Styela clava: one gene and its partners. The protein of the gene in region 3 purifies or fractionates together with the protein of the main gene of each other region. This does not show direct contact. Links are inferred from orthologs where the notes say so. Each region holds a gene or a part of one and is shown on either strand. Other genes may lie near its edges.

Region 1 (7,021 bases), on a different chromosome or scaffold from region 3:
TCAATGATTTTAAAGTCGACGTCAAGAGAGAACTTTTTTAAGTTGGGAGTCTGAATTTCAGACTTCTAATGGTGAAATCAGGATCAAAATTTCCAGCGGGAACTAAAATAGCAGTCTCGACCGGCAATTGAAGAAGGCTTGAATGAAAAACAGTTTTTTGGGTTAAAATTTCTTAGAGTTGGGGGGTGGGGTCACCTGTGAGAAAAAAAAAATCAGCATTTCGGGTATGGTTGAATTTTACTTCGCAGCCCTAAAAGTGTAGTTAAACTATATAAAACAAACTGTTATTTGCAAATTGAATAAAACCTGATTATAATGACTGTTATTTCATATTTCACTAAATATTGTCAGGTAATAGGAATTACGAGAATTAGTATGAATATTATACCGAGCTTGTAATATTTTGAGGCGAATAAACACATTCAACACTAGAAAACTTCAAATGAACGAGATGCATTAATAAAAATGGGGTAGTGATTTATTTAATATTATTTTCCTAGAAGCATAATGACTAACAAACAATAAAACGCAATTCATTGTAAATTCCCCCCGTCAGAAAATTCAGCATACATTTATTCTGTCATGGGAGTCTTGTGTAGATATGTACTAACTAATTAGATATCATTAATATCTTTCCGATTTGTACCGTAATAAAATCTCTACAATCTAACGACAAACTCTACGACTAAAAAACAACAGCCGACAGCAAACCAGACAAACAATTGCAATGTCAGTATGTCTCAATAATGCTGGGTCAATTGTTTCCACTACGCCCCTAAAAGAATGTTTCTCATCAGTCCGTACAAGCGATGAGCATATATGCTCATTGGGTATAAGATATCTCCAACAAAATAATTCTCGCTAAGAACGTGACTAACTCCACTACTGGCTCATTGCTAACCGGTCATGCCTAGTCAGTGCTAATTTTATAGGTACTTCAGAATCCGGATAATCATAAAGTTAGCACAGCGAGCAAAAATAGTTTTGGCAAAACAATCATCAATCAATACCCAGACCAGAGTCAGAAGGTCTACAGGCATTGGTACCTTTCTCGAAATCTTATTAATGTGAGGCCTGGTCTTCAATATTGATAACTACAAAAAAGAAATATCGAAGTAGTCTGGACGGGAACAGTTAATGGCCAGCAAACAAATACAGATATCGCATCAAATAGCATCACTTTCGTTTTTTAGTATATTGTCAACATAAATTTCCTAATGTGTATAATTTATTGCATAGGCTTAGTCAGTTTGTATAAAGATGGTCCGCAAAAATTTTGGTCAGGCTTTACCGGTCTGTCACTTGAAAAAGGTTGCCAACCACTGCTCTAGGTAGCTCTTGACACTCTAGTGGTCGCCCGTAACCTCATACAGAGATCAATCTCCTTTATTTTTGAGTGAGTTCGTGATCTCGCTTTAAGCAAATTCGATTAAAAAATATACATATACTATATACAAACATTAAAAAAACCTGTTGAAAATATGTTCATTCATTCCACAGGTTTAGTAGATGCAGGTGGCTTATTTTTGTGAGAAAGTGCAACTTTTAAAAATGGAAAATGAAATGATGGACTCCACTTTCATCAATAACTTTATTTCCCGTATTTTTATTATTTCTGCAATTGTGTTTATTTCACCTTTTTAAATTTTGATTTTGTATGACAAACATGGACCACCTTCAGTATCAGTACAGTAATTCAAACTTTTTTATTATTGCACCAATACCGTACTTCACTATTTCTGTATTTACAAAAAGGATGCAGAAATCAAATTGCGTATTTCTGTACTGGTGTTTGTACAGTTGTATATTCATCACGCAATTATTCTGTCAGTCTGTTATTACTTTCATTATTAAAATATTTTATTACACATTAGAATAATATGACAACATACAGACATATTGAAATACGCAATCAATCATAACTATGGAATTCTGTAATTGCAAAACGGAAAAATCTTGCACCTAGGCAACTGTCGCAGATAAAAACTCGAAAATTTTGACACAAAATCATCCTCACCTTTCAAAACGCGTCCATAATTATTGTCCAGTATCTCGTTATACCACTCGTAAAATTTTATCCACGCCCGACCGTTATTACCTTGTATTTACCCCAAACATTATTTGCTTAAACATTGCTTTGACAAGCAATCGGGTTTGGGAATTCGAGTTGAGCGCCACTCGAGGTACGTCATGCGTAACAAATCCGTTAGTGACGTTTTCACGCAAACCAAATTTACGTCGCCATGCTTGAATGATTGCGTCAGTTTCACAGCGTTCTCATGTGGCGACGTGAGATATAAACAGATGCCAGATTTTAGATTCAAAAAAATTATTTGTTTTTACGAAATAGAACTGTTCTACACTGATAAATTATGAAATTTCTGATCATGTATCAAATTAAAACATAACAAAAATTTATTACACAGGTTTTAAATTAATACTGTCAAAAATTTGTCTTTGGACGTTTATGGGAAGAATTTGATAATGCTAAATTAACGATATGTAAGTATATGAATGGTCTGAAAAGTTTATCAAATAATAATTTTAAAACAATTGTAAAATTTGATTAACCGTTTGTAGTGCGAACTTATTCTTTCGGATGCACAAAAAGAAGAGCCCACCTGACTGGGTAGCCAAAGTACAATGATAAAATCTGGTAACGGCAAAATCATCACCAGGCGGTCTTTTTCAGCTGGGCCCGTATAGGTTTCGCCTCTTTTTGCCATGAAGCTGAACGTTTCTTACCCCGCAACGGGGTGCCAGAAGCTTATTGAGATAGACGATGAGTTAAAATTACGTGCCTTTTATGATCGTCGTATGGGTCAAGACGTTTCCGCCGAATCTTTGGGAGATGAGTGGAAAGGATACATCGTAAAGATCGGGGGTGGTAACGATAAGCAAGGTTTCCCCATGAAACAGGGTGTTCTTACTGCTGGTCGAGTTCAATTGCTCCTTTCTAAAGGTCATAAATGCTACAGGCCCCGCCGTACTGGCGAGAGAAAACGTAAATCTGTTCGTGGATGTATTGTTGATGCGAATCTCAGCGTTTTACACTTGATCATTGTCAAGAAAGGAGATAATGAACTCCCTGGATTAACTGACAAATCAATCCCAAAACGTCTTGGACCTAAGCGTGCAAGCAAGATCAGAAAGCTCTTCAATTTGTCTAGAGAAGATGACGTTCGTCAATATGTTGTCAGACGTCCCGTTCCCGCGAAAGAAGGAAAAGAGCAGAAAAAACCAAGATACAAGGCCCCTAAAATTCAGCGATTAATCACACCGCAAGTTCTCCAGAGAAAGAGACACAGGGAAACCATGAAACGCAGACGTGCAGAAAAGGCAAAGAAAGAAGAGACTGAGTACAAAAAAGTGTTGGCGAAGAGAGCCAAAGAATTGAAAGAAAAGAAACAAGAGGCCCAAAAGCGTCGAAGACTTTCGAGTTTGCGAGCATCTCAGTCACAATCTCAATCGTCACAGTAATTTGACTTATTGTTGATGGTTATATTGCGCAATATATTGTTCGGTAGAAATGATAATTTACCGCAATACATAAAACCTAAATAATTTTGGTTTCTATTTGTTATCTATTATGGTTATGGTCAGAGTTTTATCTGTGTGTGGGATTTTGTCGCAAACACCAATGAGGTGTATATACTGTATGCGGTATTTGACGGTTTACAATTCTATAGATTTTGACGTGAAAGATTTCCTCGCTTTAGTGATATAGCTAAATAGTTCAAAGTTTCCTTTCGGCATGCCTCATGATTGAAGCCGAATCGTTTTTTTTTTTTTGAATTTGTCTCCGGCATCATTGGTGTCTCGTTTGCTCTTTTCAACCAGCTATTGCTTGTTTGTTACATATGAGCAAAAGCTTAGACTTGATTTGTAGTGAATGAGATTGCCAACTTTCATCTGCCTTTTTTAATATCAGAAATCTTGCTAGGAAATGGGTTTCAGTGCGTAATGAGTCAGGGTGGTCAACACATGGGCATTCGCAGAAAGTAAAATAATGAATTGATATCAACCAATATCCCTGATGATTTAGTTTATTCTCCATGCGGGATTAATGCTTTGAAATATATAATTTGAATTTGCACTGTAGAATAGGTGTCGATTTGAGCATAAAGTTGAACCAAATAAACAGGATAACTAATTTTCATTTACTTGGCTCCATTTAAATTTGACTTGATTCCAACTAATTGCAGTTCAAATTCACCAATTAAATTGTTTGTTTTTCAAAACAATCGATCAAGTTACAAAACAAAGTCTGCGAGTGCCCATGTGAGCAGGTTTTCCAAAATTATGAAGAATTTTAGTAAGAATATATGTAGACAAGATGGTACCACATTTTTAAATCCTTATAAAATTGAGAAACTTGAAGTATCTGTTTCTAACTCGCTCGGCATCGCGTAACTGATATATTATTTTTGTTAACGTTGGCATTATTTTCACAAGCAGCAAGTATCCTGCTGTCTGAAGCGCATTGTGTTTGTATATTTATCGAGTTCTTGGTTGTTATAAATATTAATGATAAAGGAAAATATTGCACTAGTTTTTAGGAATCTTACACTGAAATGTCCAACACTTAACTAAATACATATTAGCCATGTTGTTATATGAATAAATTGCGATCTGATGGTACGATAATAGTCTGGCTTCCTTAAATGCCAATTTTAATTTCATATAAATATGCACAAATTTTGCTGTGGATATTCGAAATTATTATTTTGGTTTATTTGGAATACGAAACACCACATAGTTTTGGCTATTCCCTGTCCTGCCGAAATAGTATTTCATAAAGTATAAATATTTTTCAGAGCTTTGTAACACAATCTACCCTTCAGCCTAATGTGTAGCAAATTCTGTTGTATTAGAAAGCGATAGCCGTAGTAGCAATCAGGGCTATCTCGTATCAATGGAGCCATTGTGATTTGTGCAAGCTCCCCCGCTCTGGTAACATTTTGGTAGTTTTCTCAAGTAGACCATTGTCATTAGATTTTTTAGCACAGCTCTTTCAAATAATATCACTCGTGGTCGTTACTGCATAATATTTTAGTCTTACGTTCATTCGAAAAATCATTTTTGTAAATACTTTCAGATAATTATTATTAAAACAATCATACAATGGGTAAAAAGACCAAAGCCAAGAAGCGCAAGGATAAATTCTATCATTTAGCAAAGGAGACTGGATACAGAGCTCGTTCTGCTTTCAAACTTTTGCAACTGAATAAGAAATTCAGCTTTTTACAAACCTCCAAAGTCCTGATTGACTTGTGTGCTGCACCAGGAGGATGGCTTCAAGTTGCATCACAGTATATGCCAGTTTCAAGTTTAATTCTTGGAGTCGATTTAGTTCCAATTAAGCCTATTCCAAATTGTATAACATTCACTGAGGATATTACCACTGAAAAATGCAAATCACAACTCCGAAAGGAACTTCATAATTGGAAAGCTGATTCGGTTATTCACGACGGAGCGCCCAATGTTGGTAAAAACTGGCTTCATGATGCATTCTCCCAATCTGTTTTGACTCTTCACGCATTGAAATTAGCGTGCGATTTCCTCCGCAAGGGAGGTTGGTTTGTGACCAAAGTTTTCCGTTCAAAAGATTATCAATCATTAATGTGGATTTTTAATCAACTTTTCAAAAAAGTTCATGCAACGAAACCACAAGCTTCTCGAAATGAATCTGCTGAAATTTTCGTTGTTTGTCAAGGCTACAAAGCGCCAGATAAAATCGACAAAAAATTCTTCGATGCGAAACATGTATTTCAAGAACTTACACCTGGTGATGACCAAATTACGATGGCAGACTTTGGAAATAAAAAATTGTTGAAAAAAGCGAAAGCAGTTGGGTATAAAGATGACGCTACAATGTTATATGAAGAATGTACAGTATCTGAATTCCTTGCTTCTGATAAACCATTGCACATCCTGAAACAAAGCAACAAGCTTGTATTTGATGATGAAGAAATTTTTGGGCATGTCTTTACAACAGATGATATTGTCGATGCGTGTAAAGATTTGAAGGTCATCGGTAAACGTGAATTTCGAATTCTCGTAAACTGGCATAAAAAGATGAATAAAAAAAGAGAGCAAGAGTCTGAAAAAGGTGAAAAAGAAAACGAAGAATTAGACGAGGGATCATCATCTGACAGTGATGCAGAGATTGAGAAAAAGTTATCCGAAATGAAAGAGGATGAAGCGAAACAACTCAAAAGAAAAAAGAAAGTTGTTACTAAGGAACGGCGAAAGTTACGTGAACGCATGGGTCATATGGCGCAATCGACGAACACTCAAGAAGACATGGAATTGTTCTCTTTGCATAATATAAAGTCTAACAAGCATTTGGAGACGCTTACTGAAGATGACAGTATGAAAATTCATGACAAAGAAAGAAATGAATATGAAGATGGATACGAATCCGATGATGAAGTCAGTGAAATTGAATTTGAAGACAATCAGGAATCAGATGGGGAAAATTCTTCAGATGAAGAAAAACAAGAAGAGAGCCCGCATCCACTTATTGTACCACTAGGTGAGGACGAACTCGCTTCTGAGCGACAAACCGACCTCTGGTTTAGTAAAGATATCTTTGCTGATATTAAATTAGATGCCAAAAGAGTACCTCCCAAACCGAAGAATAAAAAGGAGGAAAAGATTCCAGAAAGGGATGAAATTAAAGAATCTTCCAAGGAGGAAGTTAAAATGGAAGTTGGAATGAAACATCCTCATGATCCTAAAATAGAAGAAGATGAGGACAGTGGTTCGAGTAGCGATAGTGATTACGACATCAACATGGCAGCTGATCCTGAGGACCAGAACCCCAACTTGAAAGATTTTGAAGTTGTGCCATCTGATTATCGGGGTGCGACTGGAAAGTTAGACGCATCAGGGCTTGCCCTCGGAACAGTCATTGCAACATCTCGGAAAAGGAAGAGAGATATAATAGATGATTCTTTCAATCGTTATACATTTGAAGACGAAGGTCTGCCGGACTGGTTTGTAGAAGATGAAAAAA
Region 2 (7,870 bases), on a different chromosome or scaffold from region 3:
AGGCTTGGCGGCCCGGGTTGTGGCCCACGGGCTGCCTGTTGCACACTCCTGCTCTAGTATAAAGTGTGCTAAAAAGAAGTTTTAAGAGCTTTATACAAGGTTATCTCTGCAATTATTAATAGATGACAGTTGAAAAAACTTGAAACAATTCAAGTTATCCCTGTCAGAAAAATAACTAAGTGGAAACTCTACAAAGCAGAAGTTTTTACATACAAAATGATCATTGACAAGCGGACAATGGCTTTATTAATACAAATGACTAATAGCCATAACTGATATTGGCATCCTTATCAGTGATGAGATGGAAAAATTGTAACAACCAGTATGTACCTAACTTGTGAAAACGTACTATGACCGTAACAAACCGTACAGTTATTAACTAAGTTAAACGGGACTCCCCATGACATAATTTTATTCCAACAACAGGAGCGCAAATGCCATTAAATGTTTAACAACCAAAACTAGGTAGCCTACCGGTGCGTTTCGGCTGCAGCTCACCACTGATCCTTATGCAAACATAATCAAAATTCAATTGATCTGAGTTTGAATTGCAACCTGTTTACAGCCCTGTTCTGAGCAAAACGTCTCATTTGATTTTCAAACAAGATTGTAAACTCAAGGTTAGATTTAAATTAATCATGAGAGTATAGTGCATCTAGAAGTGTGTGTACCAATATGGAGGTAACTAATTTTGTTTGCCTACTTTACATCAAGTTGTGTAAAGGGACTGAAACCTATGGGCAGGGGGTATATCTACTTGTCTCACACGGACAGTCCTGAACTCGTAAAAGAACTAAAATAAGAAAAATCAGAATAAAATTATGGCCTAACCCTAACCTGGTACACATGCTACGGGAATGCCCATAACAAATAATTATTTTTTACATTATACCTTGGCAACTATGGCTTCTTGTACTCGTTCAACTGGTAACTGTAAAACAAAAATAGCAATTATTAATTTTACAACATTATCAATGAAGCACTAATGTTGCCATTTATCCTTCATTGATATTCAGGTTAAAAGACGAGATTGAAACTTTTTACACTACAGATTAAAGATGACCATAAAAGAATCAAATTCTGATATGTCAGAACCCAAATCACATTACTAAGAGTCCGATTTTATATCACCAGGACCAGACTCCACAACAGTGATTTCTTTTCTCAATAAAATCAATAGGATAGGGGAGGATTTATATATTTATAACACAGCTTAATCATATGGTGAACCACACCCTTCCGTCCGGTTACCAGTCCATGTCGGGTATGGGAATAGTTTAGTTAGTCAGTTATTCGTTTTCGGATGCATGGACTTGATTACCCAATTCAAAATCATTCAAGTATAATAATTATTTAGTATTGCCAATTCTCTGTTGCAAATATTAAAACAAAAACAACTTTCTCACTTTCCATATTTCATTAAATAGCAATTGTGTGTTGTCTCTTGTTAGTTTCTTGATGTAGTCTTCTGAATTTTGCCTGAAAAAAATGATTGAAAACTGATAATTTGTATGACTACAAAAACTAGGCACACATTCAGTAAACACCGTTCCCTTATATGGCCAGTTGATGCGAACGGAATGTGCGATTATGCAAAGGACCAGTGCCAAGGGAGCTGATTAGAATTGGGAAACACTAAAAAGTGGCGGCTTGTAAACATGGCTCAAAAATTTTATATGAAAATGATGCTGGGGTTGTTTAGAGCCAAATAGCATTCTAAACCAATTTATTTTAATTAAGTTGAGCAGGTGGGTCTGGTATAGTACAAGGGATTAGTTCAACAATTTTTGCATATGTAATTCCTACCCCCCATTTGACTACGTCATCCAAAAATTATGTCACCATGATGACTTCACTGTAACACGTTAAGACACGGAAAAATACACGAACAGTTATTCCCACCGTGTAGATGCTTACCCTAAACCGAGAAAGCTTTGTCGTCGGGTAGTGTTGGGAATAAAATATGCAAAAATAGTTATTCCACGTCCACTAGAAGTACTAAAGAGGCACTAAACTACACTAGACCCAAGGTCATTTTGCGAGATTTATTATGCTGACGATTCCATTTTGTTTATTGTACAAAAGATCAATTCATGATGCAAATTTGACAAGTTACTGAGCTAGCAAATGGTATAAAAATGCAACTATCCTCAAAAAGAGAAAAACGTGCAACTTAGACAGTAAATTCCTGGAATGAGATTGAGTAATTCCATAACTATAATCTGCTTGGCAATACATTTTTCATAAAAGTTCATCTCTACTGTTCACTCCCATTTATAAAATCTATCAATTCGGCAGTGGCAAACGTTATAAATTTATTAATATGGTGTGGCAAGTAATTTTTATTTATTTTTTTAAATTACCCGTATGTAATTTATAACTTCTGTATGGTTGTGAGTGTGGGTGCGTGTGAGCGTGTGTGAAATATTCCCATTATTTTAGGTAAGTGAACACGTACCACTTTTTCTTGGCAAAACCTTCCATCTTGTATACATTCTGTACGTTTTAAACCTTATCTAAGGTTTTGTTTGCTCTCCTGATTTCATAATCATCATTTTTTTTACCAATCATTTTATTGTTATGCTGATTATGGAGTCGAAATAAACGTATACTTAAATAGATAGGTATGTAGTTTATCAGTTATTTGTAAGTATAAGTTTAATATAACTTGATTATACCAGTACAAGAAAAATCTGGTATTGAGAATCAACAGCAAAAAAAGTAAAGAAACAAAATTGTTCTTCCATATACTGTTTACTTTAAAACTTGTTCACTAATACAGCAGTATAATATTAGATGTATCTTACTTGAAAGCTTGTGAATCCAGTAAATTGGAGTCCGTTGCAATAAGATTTCCCAGGTCGAATTCGAGGTCAATATCTTTCTCAACAGTGATAGATTTTAATTTTTCTTTCTCCTCTTCAGTTATATTTTTTAATAGTTGTGACGCATCCGCAGCAACTTCCTCCATTTTGTGTAAAATTGAATCACAAAATGACGAAAAAACGGCGAAATTTAGCAAGACAGATATTAAAACTTTGTCGATTTAGGGAAGGGTTACCAGATTGGAGTAAATCACATTTGACATCCTTGCAAAATTTTTACTAAAAGTAACATTATAAATTTTTGATAAGTTTCCAAAATTAAAAAAAAAAAAATACAATTATGGAAACATCAATTTTATGCAAGTCTGTTGGGGATTTGTTACTTAATTGCAAATTTAAAAAATTTAAATTTCTGTATATCTGACAACTATCAAAATTACATGCTACAATTATGACCACCGATGCGTATCTTTTGTCCGACAATTAGTTTTACTTTTAACAGATTTTTTACAAATTTTTACGTTCTAATTGTACAGTTTTCGCAATACTTCATTTTTTTCGATAACTAGAAAGTTAAAAAAATGGGTTTAAATAGTTTTAAAATTTTGCACCACAAAACAAATTTTATGGCTCTTTCATAAATACCCATGGGCGTCATCTCGCGGATGTGGTTTATGCCAAAATTTTGTCTCTTCGTTCTCATTTCGTGAGAGTTGCTCGCTTTGCAACGCCGCACTTGCTAATCTGTTTGCTAGCGGCTTGGTCGATGGCTTGGTGCATCTCGTCACGACCTGTTTTTGAAAGTTATATAATTTTTAGAGAACACGTTTTCGTTACTAGATTTTAAATTAGGGTTGAGAAGTTTATATTGCAATTCATCAGAATGCTATGCTCGCAGTGCTAAGCTTGAGTGTTCACTGGTTTAGTGGATTTGAAAACCAAATTGGACTTGAGATCGCAGAATTTATTAACGAAATTGTGAATCATTAAGACGATGACGGCACTTTAAAAAAATTTGTATTCAAACCTTAGGTCTAATCAACTTGAGAAGATAACAAAGACAGAAAATAAAAATTTATAAATAATTATATAAATAATATTATTTATAACAATTTTGTTAGTCTTAATTAACCTTAAATCTATTTCTGTATCCCAAAAGATATTGCCTAATATTCAGATATTGCATTTCGTTTTCAGGTCTTAGACTAAAAGGATTGCGTCCTAGGCAGTTTTTATCATTGAAAAGATACCGCTTAGTTCTTTCCAATGTAGTCTAATTGAAGCCATTTAAGCATTTTTTTAGGATTACATGATTAATGGCCTAAATTGATTTTTAGATCAATATCCATATATTACAAAATGTCTATATTAAATCTTTTTGCAATATTTTTATTTATTTTGAATTAATCATTCTGACTTTTAAAATAAATTTAAAAATCAATTCCGCTTGTCTTTGGCAAAACCTTTCAACTTATATTTTGTACGCTTTGAACATTACCTAAGGTTTTGTTTGCTATCCTGGTTTTATAATCAGTTATCAATTAATTATCTTATCATTTGTTATGCTGATTATGGAGCCGAAATAAACTTAACTCATATAAATAATAAAAAATAAATAAATATCCTAGAATGCGCACTTCAAGTCTCGTCAACTGTCTCACCTTTCAAATACTTGATCTATAATCAATAGCTCATAAGCATTGGAGTGAACGTAATGTGAAGTAACATGATAGACTTTTGTTGTTCAGTTATGCATATAAATCAATTTAAACCGCAAAGTATTCTTGTTAAGAGGGTAATTACGCTACAAAGTTTAGATTTCAATACAATGCATTTGTAACTTACGCATGGAAGAAAATAGATTTTCTGGAACTGTGTTGTGTGCAAAGAAGTTTTATCTGGTTTCTATTAGATAGTAGCATTAGGTGCGCGCTTGCTCAGGTTGGCGGGTTCAAACAATATTTTATGCTGATAATCGTTTTTTTTTAATTCAACTAATTATCCTTTTTCTATGCCCTAGAGGCGGTCAATCTGTATTATCCATGTATGCTGAAACAAGAGTGAAAATATCTATTGTGGGTTATTCATAGAGTATTGCAACTAGAAATTTGAAACACTTGCAACATTTACAACTGATACTTTAGTTTATTCTATTTCTTAAAGGAACTTTTCAAATTATATTCATTTTTCACGATTTTTCATACCAAATCCTAGGGGTATGAGTATGACCCAATATATTCCATTTCAACTGAATTTTAATATTCTTAAACGTTTAATAAATGTAGTATTCAATAACACTTACAGTTTAAATTACTATTTAATAGTATGGTTTAATCATCTCGGAGAAATTACCAAATTGCATTCAGTTCCCTTAGGTCGTTTTCAGCTGAGCAAGGTTTTTATTGATGCATCTATTCCCTTCTAATTTGTCTCTAGAGATATTTTCTAGACTTGTTGCTTAATGATTAAGAATCGATTATCTAGAAACGATTGGCCCAGAAGAAAAATTGGAATAAACATTAGTCTACGTATTAGTATTACTAAGAATAAGTTAGAATATTTCACATGATATAAAAAGCAACAGTTTTGTATCTTCTAAGTAAATGAGTTTGAAAGTGCAGATTAGAGGAAAATGTCATTTTTGTCATTATTGTAGTCCAGTCTGTTTGGTATGAATCTTATTTTAATGTGGTAGTCAATGAAGTGGAACCATGCAGCTCTGCTACACATTATTTAAGATGGTATTATTCTGGCGAGCTATGCTTCATTGATTTCGAATGGTTGAGTCCTGAGTTGTATTAATTCATCAATTTTTTTAAGTAATGGGAAATTGTCTTCTTGTCAATATAATAATTACTCAAAGAGACAGAAAAAGATATTTTGATATATTTTTGTATTACGAATATCATCAAGTATTTCTTAGTTTATAGGATGTCATATTGTGTGTCACTTTCATTTCTACTCTTTGTCATTTCAAGTATTCAGTACATTTCGATCAAATTTAGGCTTTGTATGCCTAAAATGGTATTATGACAATCCATTTCGGAAAATCTAATTTACTTACTGTATTTTATATCCAGGGCCCTACTTTTAACTTTAGTTCGTGCAAACCAGAAACTGTTTTCCTCATTTTTCCAGCATAGATTAGGTGAATTATCATACTTTAATAGCAATGCAATCTAGCTACCTAGGCAGGTAATTATAACCTTCGTTCTGGAATGTACTTTGAGAAATGGTGAGCCATGCAAATCTTGTTGCAGAAATTGATTACGTCAACAGCATGTCAACTGAAGACAGGTAAAAAAGTTTTTTGTGTTGATATAATGAGGATTTAATTTTTCTGTGTGTGCAACCATGGCATTATATTTAAATAATGAGCAAAATATCTATCTGGAGAAAAGCATTATCGGCCAGGTAGTGTGACTCATTGTAATAAGCATTAGAAATATGCTCGCCACCGCACCTCTGATTACTCTGCATTGCTTCGCACTTTCGAATCTTGTGGGGGATGATTATTAAAAGAAGATTGCTGAACTCCTTGCCGCCGTAAGGTGGATCACATAACCGCCAAAAGTCAAGGAGACTCATCTCTACAAAGTTATGGTCACACCACTGAAAGAGCTAATAAAACTATATTGAAATAGGGGTAGCGCATTGGATGCTAGCCATTGGCGTGAGATGTGAAGGGGTTCAATTCAATACGACCAGAAAAACTGCTATTGCATGGGGAATTCCTTTTCCACTAAAGTTATTTTGGCATATTTTTGTCATATTATCAGCATTTGACATTATTTCTAACAAAAATATATTTTCAAGGCTGATCCATGCAAGGCAACGTCGACAAGAACAACTTCAGCGTTGGAAAGAATCCGAGCTTGAATATGAAAAAGATAAGGCAGGATTACCAAACGGACAAATAGCAAATGATAACAAAAGATCAGTTAAATTTGGAGATAGTGTTACATTACTTGAAGCTGCCGCTCGAGACGATGTAGATGAAGGTAGAACACCTTGTATTATGCAATAATTCCCACTTCATGCATGTAAATTACACAGACTAACAAGATGTTTGATTAAGGATCAAATTAAAGTCCTAACCATGCAAGCTGAAAATGAAAATATAATGAAATGGAAGATCAGTTGGCATGCATTTAGTCGAGTTTATTTTTCCAGCCAGTAATAAAAAAGAGTGATATTAAAAGTCAAAACATAATGAACTGATTTGGGAAAATAATATTGCATGTGTAATAATGGCTTTAAATGATTGTGACTTTTTTCCCAATTTGATACGAACCTATATAAAGTACCTTCGCTATACTGCTTTCTATCTCCCGCAGCATGTCTATACTTTTGGAACCATAAATTTGGTATTTGTCCCCAGTGGCGCAACCAGGCTGTTTTCAACGGGGGGGGGGTCCGACCGGAATTTACACAGTGCAACCACGACGTGAGTCGCAACGCCACTAGGTGTCGCCCCGCTGACCACGATAAATTGCTCATGGTTAAAAGGGAAACGCCATCGATTAAATCCCAGCCTTTCGCTTACCTTGCACTCGTTCATTAACGGCGCTTCGCTATGTCTTGCACCTCGTGGGTAGCAAAACGCCGTTCATTACATTCCAGCGAATTGCTAACGAAAAGCTGTTAATTATTTTCAACGTTTCCCTCGCTTTGCGCCTCGTGGATAGTGAAACACGGCTTGAATAAATTCCAGTGTTTCCCTCGTGCCGCGCCTTGCTCGTTGGGTGAATTCGTCAACACTAAAAACAAAATGCACTTCTTGCGAATGGACCTTTTCCCGACCCTAACCCCGGAAAAATTCTAAACTAAACTGAAGCTCACCGGAAGACATAATGACAATTAAAATAATTGATTTACAACTAATTTTTGGAAACACCACTAAAAACTGACTAATTTAATGCAGGGATGTCCAAATCGAATTTAAATTCAAATACTGTTTTTTCGTGTTTATAATAATCCCGAATATGGCGCACATATCCTAGCGTCGTCGTCCATGTGTGGTTCGGCAATATATTACACCTGAC
Region 3 (7,497 bases):
TATATCCACACCTAGAGAATCTTTAATGCAGACAGTATAGCACTGAAAACTTTTGTTTTAGAAATGACCATGCCTGCATTGTACTTGCCGATCATCGTTATGCAAAAATGAACATCAAATCCGAACTACCATCATGGATTTCTGACAAACTACAAGTTGCTGACAGATTTGGAATTGCATTCGGTGCTGTTCGAAAGGTATATTTCCAGCAATTTATGTATACTGCATTCATACAACCCTTTTATTACAATCAATCGAAGTCTCTCGTGATGATGAAAGTGTTTATTCTTTTGCAGTTTTTCATGGACAAGAAGACTGCAAGCAGATGAAATGATAGCGCAATTGATAAGAATGCTAAAAAGTATCGTAATCACAAATTACATTCCATTTTCAACATTCAACAGTACATCCCCCAATTTAAAATAGATATGCTTATTTATCATGATAGCTATGTTGTGTTCAATAACAGTTCCAGTCTACACCAATTATATTTACAGAGCAGATATTAAGTGACTACTGCATTTCGAAAGCAGCAAGTATCGTAGGAACGCAAATATTTTTGCACAGTGAGACAGACGGAACAATATAAAAATATATATGAATACACCTATAAGCTACAGTGAGGTTGTCATGATCTCCTTGCCTGCCTGAACAAGCAGTTTTTCCAATATAGAGCATGTCCGTAGATCGCAATTGATTATTTCAATCTGCAAGCATGGTTTCATGTGATGTATTCACCCCTTGTGTCATATCTTCATGGTTTTCCTGAACAAAAAAATTGACTTTTGGTGTTGTCCCATACAACTACTTTAAAATCATGTTGATTAGAGAGCTGTTTCAACTTCTTTTGCCCAGCAAGGGCACAGAATTCTAGACTATCATAGTCAATAAAAAAGCCTTCATTACCTCATGACTCATATTTTCTTCTCTGTGAATACTGTGCAATCTGTCTTGGATAGCATCTTGCAATGTTCGTAAGCTTTCTTCATCCAGTTCTTTTACCAATGACAATGTGGCAGAGAGAATGTTGATACTAGCTGTACTCTGTCCTAATGTTTCTCTTTGTGTATTTCGAGCTGTTGATTTACTTGTAACAATCTCTTGTTGTTGTGGTAATGGTCTCAATCCCAACTGTTTTCTCAGTTCACTGTCATTAATTAAGCGTTCATTCAAGTAGTCAGTATATGTTATCGGCTGTGTATCAAGTTTTTTCGACTAGGAAATATTTATCAACTTTCTAATATCCAAAAAAGATTTTTCACACGAACTAAATCTCGTATAATTTAATTAATAACCGGCAAAAACAAAATTTTGTTACAACTTTTGTGGGTGGGTTGGACTTTAAATTGTGTTGGCATCCTAGGTTCAAACCGGAAAATTTCGGTCATGCAAAAATTGTAGCTCATTGAATGTCATAGTATATTATGAGTGACTGCTTTTACTGGACTTGTTTAGAGTAAAAGGCATGAATATCTTCAACCAGCATCTCATCCTATGTTCCACCTCAACTATCATAGCGCATTACTATTTGATACAATACTCCTATTACGCTCTGGTATGGAAAGCAGACTAAGTTTTCCTTATTATACTAACTTTGTTTCATCCACTGGACAGTGATTATTTTCTTTGTTGTAGCCGGAATACTGATTTTCAGATGGTGAAAGTCTAGATTCTTCTGATTCTTTTTCTAAAAACATGTCATGGCGAGAACTGTTTGTAACATTAGATTCTCTTGCATAACAATAACTTACCTTGTTTATCAGATTCTGTATTTTCTTGATTGTCAATATTATTTACGAGGTAACAATTTACAGGAATAGCTTTATCTTTTGATTCATTTGTTTCTTCTGGGATGCTTTCTGGTTCCGTCAATTCATCACCTTCCTTTTTTGCTTTTTCTACCTCTTCAGCAGTGACAACTGCAAAGAAAAGTGACTGGATTTAAATTCTAGAACTGGTAAGCAGACAGGGGTTGTTTTTAACTGTATATAAAAATCAACCTCTGACAAGAATTAATAATGTGTCCTCACCTACATTGTCCAGCTTAGCAAGCATTGGCAGCACTTTTAAAACTGTTAGTCTGTATTTTGTATTACTGATGTCATCACAAAATGGGTTGTCCGAAAGCCAAAGAATCCTAAAAAAAAAGGCTAACTTAAGGTAAGCTTAGTACTATATATATTCATACATGGATCCTCTTTGTGCCCAATAAGTAAATAAAACATACAATTATCATTATTGTTTCTTTTAACATATTCTATTACATATATAATCCTATTTATTAGTATATGTATAATTGAGAAGGTTACATACAACTAATATTCAATAAAGATACCTTAATTCTGTTAGCTCTTTCAAATGGAGAACTTCATTCAAATTCTTTAAATTATTTTTCCTTAAATAGAGTTCTTTCAAATTGCAGCAATGCGATAAAGCTTGAAGGCTTTCAATGTTGTTTGCACTAAAAATAAAAAAAAGAATTTCAATCCACTATAAGATACTTAAATTGTTACACATTAATAACAGGAAATTTTTAAAAGTAAATAATTGAGATAAGTTTGTAACCATGCTTGAAAATAAGCGCCAACTTCCAATGAAATGGAAATCATGAGATCCAATGAATCCATCAAAATGAATCAATCCAATGAAATTTTTCGGATTGTAAAATATCTGCAGAAAAAATAAATACCGGTATGCGATATAAGCACAAAAATTTACGAGAAATGTAACTAACCTGGCGTTTATCACTTCAATGTTGTGCATTTTTCGAACAATTGTAATCTACAAAACATTAATAATGAGACAGTATAGCTATAAACTCCAATATAAAAAGACACTCAAGGTTCCATATGGATAGAAGTAAATAAAGCAAAGCATGCTTGGAAAAGTCAGTTTAGACGAGTTCAGTAAAATCTACAAAATTCTTCAAGAATCGATAACATCTAACAATTTTATGTATAATTCCACTAAGTAACTCTCACTATAAAAGATTCCGAAGATAATTCAAGTCAAATGGAACTAATCAAGACTATTTTACACTGGTATAAATGTGAAATATTTCGAGAGTGATAATAATGATTTATTTTATACACCTTACTAGGTATCATAAAATACTTACATCTGAAAGAGCACTGCCCCTGAAAAAGATAACATCAATTTAGCTATAAATCACTTTTGATTTGTGCAATGAGTTAAAACTTGTTTTTATTAGTACTGGTACAGTAGTATCTAAGGCTATAGAAATTTGAAACATTGCTATTCTATCCAGTATATTCAGCATCCAGTTTACAAAATTAATGAATGACTAGGGGCCTATACAGATTCTTACCAACAGTTTAGGTTCTTTACAGCACCCAAGCTTTTAGATCTTGCTCGTGCCAGCACTAGCTTTTCTGTGAGTTTTACCATATCTTTGTCATAAAGTAATCTTCTTATTAAAAAGATTGTGAAGCAACCTTGTTATTGATTGTATTTCTTCCAATTTTCCTCAGGTATTTTGGAAAAAAAATATTCTGATATTGGTGATACCGGTAGGCCTATTTATCAAAGTTAGTAATGAACTGAATAAAAAACAATAAAAAGTTGCCTATTTATTATACCAAATCCCGGTATCGTTAACTCCACCAGATCATAGGCTACTAGCGGCACCGGGTTCACCGGGAATTATGATTCCACAATGTGGATTACGGTACCCGGTACCGGTATGCAATAAATAAAAAACATAAAATAATAAATGAATAACAATGACCAAGTATACATAAATAACAAAACATTTCATTACAGTCAATTGATTGTATTTTCCATAGTTGAAATTAGTCACAGGTCACTATACAAGGCTACATCGCCGACCAGCGTACCTTGGTCCTTGGCTGCCTGGCTACTGGTAAATATAAATACAAAATCCCCAATGTTTGACTTGACCTTTGACACCGCGCCCTGTATTTTTTTTATGCAAACAGTGGTTGGGACTGGGTTTAAAATTTTTGCTAGTTTTTAAGCGCCAACTTCCAAAAACACTATTATAATAAGCACCAACAACTTTGCAAATATAGGATCAATTTTTCTGTGGTCGGAACTCGGAAAGCATCCTGAAGGTATATTTCCACACGGAGGCACTATTGAGCAAATGTACGCGTGTGGTTATTGTGGGTCCAGAGGAACTGCCATCGTTCAGCGAGCTTCGCCTTGCGCACTGAAGACGTGTAGCCTATTTCAATTAGTTTTGAACGCTTGGATTAGATCCATTACGGTTGTCCTGAAGCTAAGCTTTATGTAATTGCCATAGTATGCATAGACATATAAATTATGGGACCGTACAAGTACGGCGTCGGTAATTAGTTACCATACCAAACCCTTTTTTAGCTCACTCTGGTACCGTACCTTACCTCTGGTACCGTACTCTGGATATTGCATTTGGCTACTGTCAGACTGTGTGGTAAATTCAAATTTCAGATTGTCTGCATTTCTAGTAGTCTGAGTAGTGGTACCGTAACTTTTGTCAGTAAGCAACCGTCATCTTATTCAACGACTGAACGAGGAAATACCAAGGTACCGTACGCTGGTCGGCGATGTGACTAATTAACAGATTAAAGTTTCATTCAAATCAATTTCTTTTAACTTCCCCACCATCTTACGGTACCGGTACTTCTGTGTGGTGGTGTAGCCCACCGTGCTGAGCGTTAGGAAAACGCTCGCCACCGCACCTCTGAATTTTCTGCGTGGGTTAGCAGGTTCGAATCCCACGCAGGGATGGTTAAGTGCGAAAGGATTGCTGGATTCCTCGCCGCCGTAGAGTGGTTTATGTAACCGCAGGTCGGTTACGGCTTCCTTCATCAAGTCCATGCTTTCGAAAACAAATAGATTAACTAACTAATTCCATACCCGACATGAAATGGTAACCGGATGAGAGGCAGTGGTTCGCCATATGGCAGTGTGGTTAAGTGGTCTTATCAGCTTTCCTCTCCCCAGGATAAATATTTAAATCCTGTCGTAGTTATTAATAACCTAACCTTTGACTTAATGCAGTAACGCATGGCTGTGTGTATAAATGTGAAGATTTCACCAAACATTATTTTATTCTAATTCAATATCATAGAATTTCTTGATGTCTTCAGTTCAATAATTTATATGCTAGACCTGTAATCTGTAAAATGGGGAAGAAAACTCAAAGAACGCCAGAAGAACTCACACTTGAAAAAAAGAGAAATGAAGAATTCAAAGACAAGATTCGGGCAAGAAGAGTAAGTAACAACGCTTATAATATGATCATCATGACTGTGTGTGTAGAAGGTGATTTATACATGTAAAATGGGTTTTGAACATCCAATTCGAAATAAATCATGGATTAAACTTATGAATATGTTTAGATTAAATTAAAATAATGTGGTTAACTATTTAATTGTTGCCTCAATGAACTCATCAATCAAATCAAAATCACAGCAATAATTGGAGTCTCATTGTGTTGACAACTTATCTTCACAATGTTGACAACCATATTTCCATCAAAATTCAGGTCTGTTACACTCTAATACAATATTAATATCATTAACAATTTTCTCTTTGAAGGAAAAATTAGAAGCAAAAGGGAATCAACGGGGAGTTGTTCTTCTCAGTCATATTCCACTTGGGTTTTATGAACCACAAATGTATGAATATTTTTCTCAATTTGGAAGAGTTACAAGGTTAAAATTGATTCGGAGCAAAAAGGTTGGTCGTCAACTATTTTGTATATTTATTTTCATCTGTTCCAGGAAGTTATTTTTTATCACTGTTTGTTTCAGACTGGGAAGTCAAGACAGTTTGCTTTCATTGAATTTCAATTTGAAGAAGTTGCAAAAATTGCAGCTAAAACAATGAATAACTATTTAATGTTCCAAAAAATATTAAAATGTAAGTATACTTTATAGTATTATCAATTTTGCATTATCTTTAGTACCGGTATATCTCTATTTCACTGATTTTGGTAACCATGCTTAAAATTGTGTGAAAATCATATTTTGGTAAAAATTGCAGGCAGACTTATTCCTTTGGAAGAAGTGAAACCAAACACATTCAGTAACTGGAGGCTTATTAAGCGTGTACCTCAAAGTAGAACAAAAGATATCAAGAGACACAATCAAGATGTAACTGATCCTGAAAAGGTTTGATCAAACTTAATAGTCATCTTTGCCAAAATAAAATGCATGGTATTAAATTGCAGAAAACTGCTTCGAGATTTGCAATGAATTGGACTTTGACAGGTCCACATTGATTTTTAGTTTCGTTGACATTGTAATTCCTCACTGTTTTTTTTACAGATCCAGTTAAAATTAAAAAGGCTACGAAAAAGAAGAGGACTATTAAACAAAAAGCTTCGTGAGATGGATATAGACTATGATGTTATGAATGTAGGACAACAATGCCATTTTTATGATACTTGCTAAAATACCTTGTCCTCAAACTACAATCAGATTTCTTTTACTCAGCTTGTATTTGTGTATTGTAGTTCCGTATTGTGGATAACTTTTTAAAATTATAGATTTCTTCAACATGGTTTATATTACATCAGATCATGTAATGGTAAAGGTCTTATTTTCATTATCAATAGATATTATTTCAACTTGTTTGTATTTTATCTACAGATTAAAGTAAACGACTCATTTGTTTCCCCTGAAAGAACCCGTGCTTCTCCTGAAGAATTAGCAGATGTTTATGAGCCTATTCCAGGTACCATATATATTAAAATGATTGTATGCTGAGTGTTTTGTCTATTATTATAGTTAAAGCAAGGATACTCTAGCTTTGTAGGGTATAAATTGAGAAGGCATACGCTCAACTCAACGCTTCATCCATTACCTACAGAGCTGCTTCTTTATCATGTCGGCTCAAACTGCTTCAATGCTAGCGTCAACTGGCATTTAACAACATATTTCCTCATCTAAATATTAATATCCCAATTTCATATTTTCGAAACTTGCAGTAAAAATGATTTTTTTTCCAAAATTCAGATTCCATTGGAATGGAGTATCGGTATTCTGATGGTGAAGATTTTGATGGCAAACGCTCAAATACAAAGAAATTGGGAACTAATATAAAAAAGAAGGAAGAATCAAATGATAATAAAACTAGTGATACATCACTGGAGAATGGACCTAAAGTGCAGTCTACTGATACAAAAAGTTCAATGACCAAAGTATGCTGATTAACTTGAGTTGTTAATATTGTGCAGAATCATGGTTTCATAGGTCAAAAAGTATCGATTTATAAATATGTACATTATCAGTTTTGGCTTTTTTCAATATCTGAATATCTTATTTAGCTTTCAGGTTTCAAATGAGGATAATGATAATTGAAATTCTATAGTTGAACAAGATACGACTTGTATGTCATAGGTCAATGGGACAACTTCATCGTCTATTCTACAGCCTCTAGTCAACAGTCCATGTCTGATATGGGAATGAATAGTTACTTGAAAGTCACTGTAGACCCAATTATCTCGATGTTGCAAGTTACATGATG

Evidence for each region.
Region 1: the proteins of uncharacterized protein LOC120342376 (region 3) and pre-rRNA 2'-O-ribose RNA methyltransferase FTSJ3-like fractionate together in Homo sapiens (co-fractionation; 3 studies listed by BioGRID, with this or other methods). This does not show direct contact. The link is inferred for Styela clava from reciprocal best matches to the Homo sapiens genes NIFK and FTSJ3.
Region 2: the proteins of uncharacterized protein LOC120342376 (region 3) and ribosome biogenesis regulatory protein homolog purify together in Homo sapiens (affinity purification with mass spectrometry; 3 studies listed by BioGRID and IntAct, counting the BioPlex papers as one, with this or other methods). This does not show direct contact. The link is inferred for Styela clava from reciprocal best matches to the Homo sapiens genes NIFK and RRS1.

What each region holds. Positions count from the first base shown.
Region 1 is NC_135263.1:4,791,900-4,798,920, reverse strand, and holds the start of pre-rRNA 2'-O-ribose RNA methyltransferase FTSJ3-like, read left to right. Parts: upstream 1-3,908; 5' UTR 3,909-5,124; coding exon 5,125-7,021. Other genes in the region: small ribosomal subunit protein eS6-like, read left to right, coding at 2,725-3,480.
Region 2 is NC_135263.1:4,727,799-4,735,668, reverse strand, and holds the start of ribosome biogenesis regulatory protein homolog, read right to left. Parts: upstream 3,108-7,870; 5' UTR 2,972-3,107; coding exon 2,808-2,971; intron 1,480-2,807; coding exon 1,407-1,479; intron 932-1,406; coding exon 893-931; intron 1-892. Other genes in the region: protein phosphatase 1 regulatory subunit 16A-like, read left to right, coding at 6,058-6,122, 6,642-6,826. UniProt on the Homo sapiens protein: Involved in ribosomal large subunit assembly. May regulate the localization of the 5S RNP/5S ribonucleoprotein particle to the nucleolus.
Region 3 is NC_135252.1:14,885,943-14,893,439, reverse strand, and holds the start of uncharacterized protein LOC120342376, read left to right. Parts: upstream 1-4,421; 5' UTR 4,422-4,548; intron 4,549-5,082; exon of another isoform or gene 5,083-5,134; 5' UTR 5,135-5,150; coding exon 5,151-5,240; intron 5,241-5,565; coding exon 5,566-5,706; intron 5,707-5,780; coding exon 5,781-5,889; intron 5,890-6,012; coding exon 6,013-6,140; intron 6,141-6,296; coding exon 6,297-6,386; intron 6,387-6,620; coding exon 6,621-6,705; intron 6,706-6,986; coding exon 6,987-7,171; intron 7,172-7,497. Other genes in the region: ATP-dependent DNA helicase DDX11-like, read left to right, coding at 62-197, 297-329; cilia- and flagella-associated protein 410-like, read right to left, coding at 703-765, 907-1,147, 1,594-1,687, 1,752-1,919, 2,031-2,137, 2,336-2,461, 2,735-2,781, 3,119-3,137 and 1 more.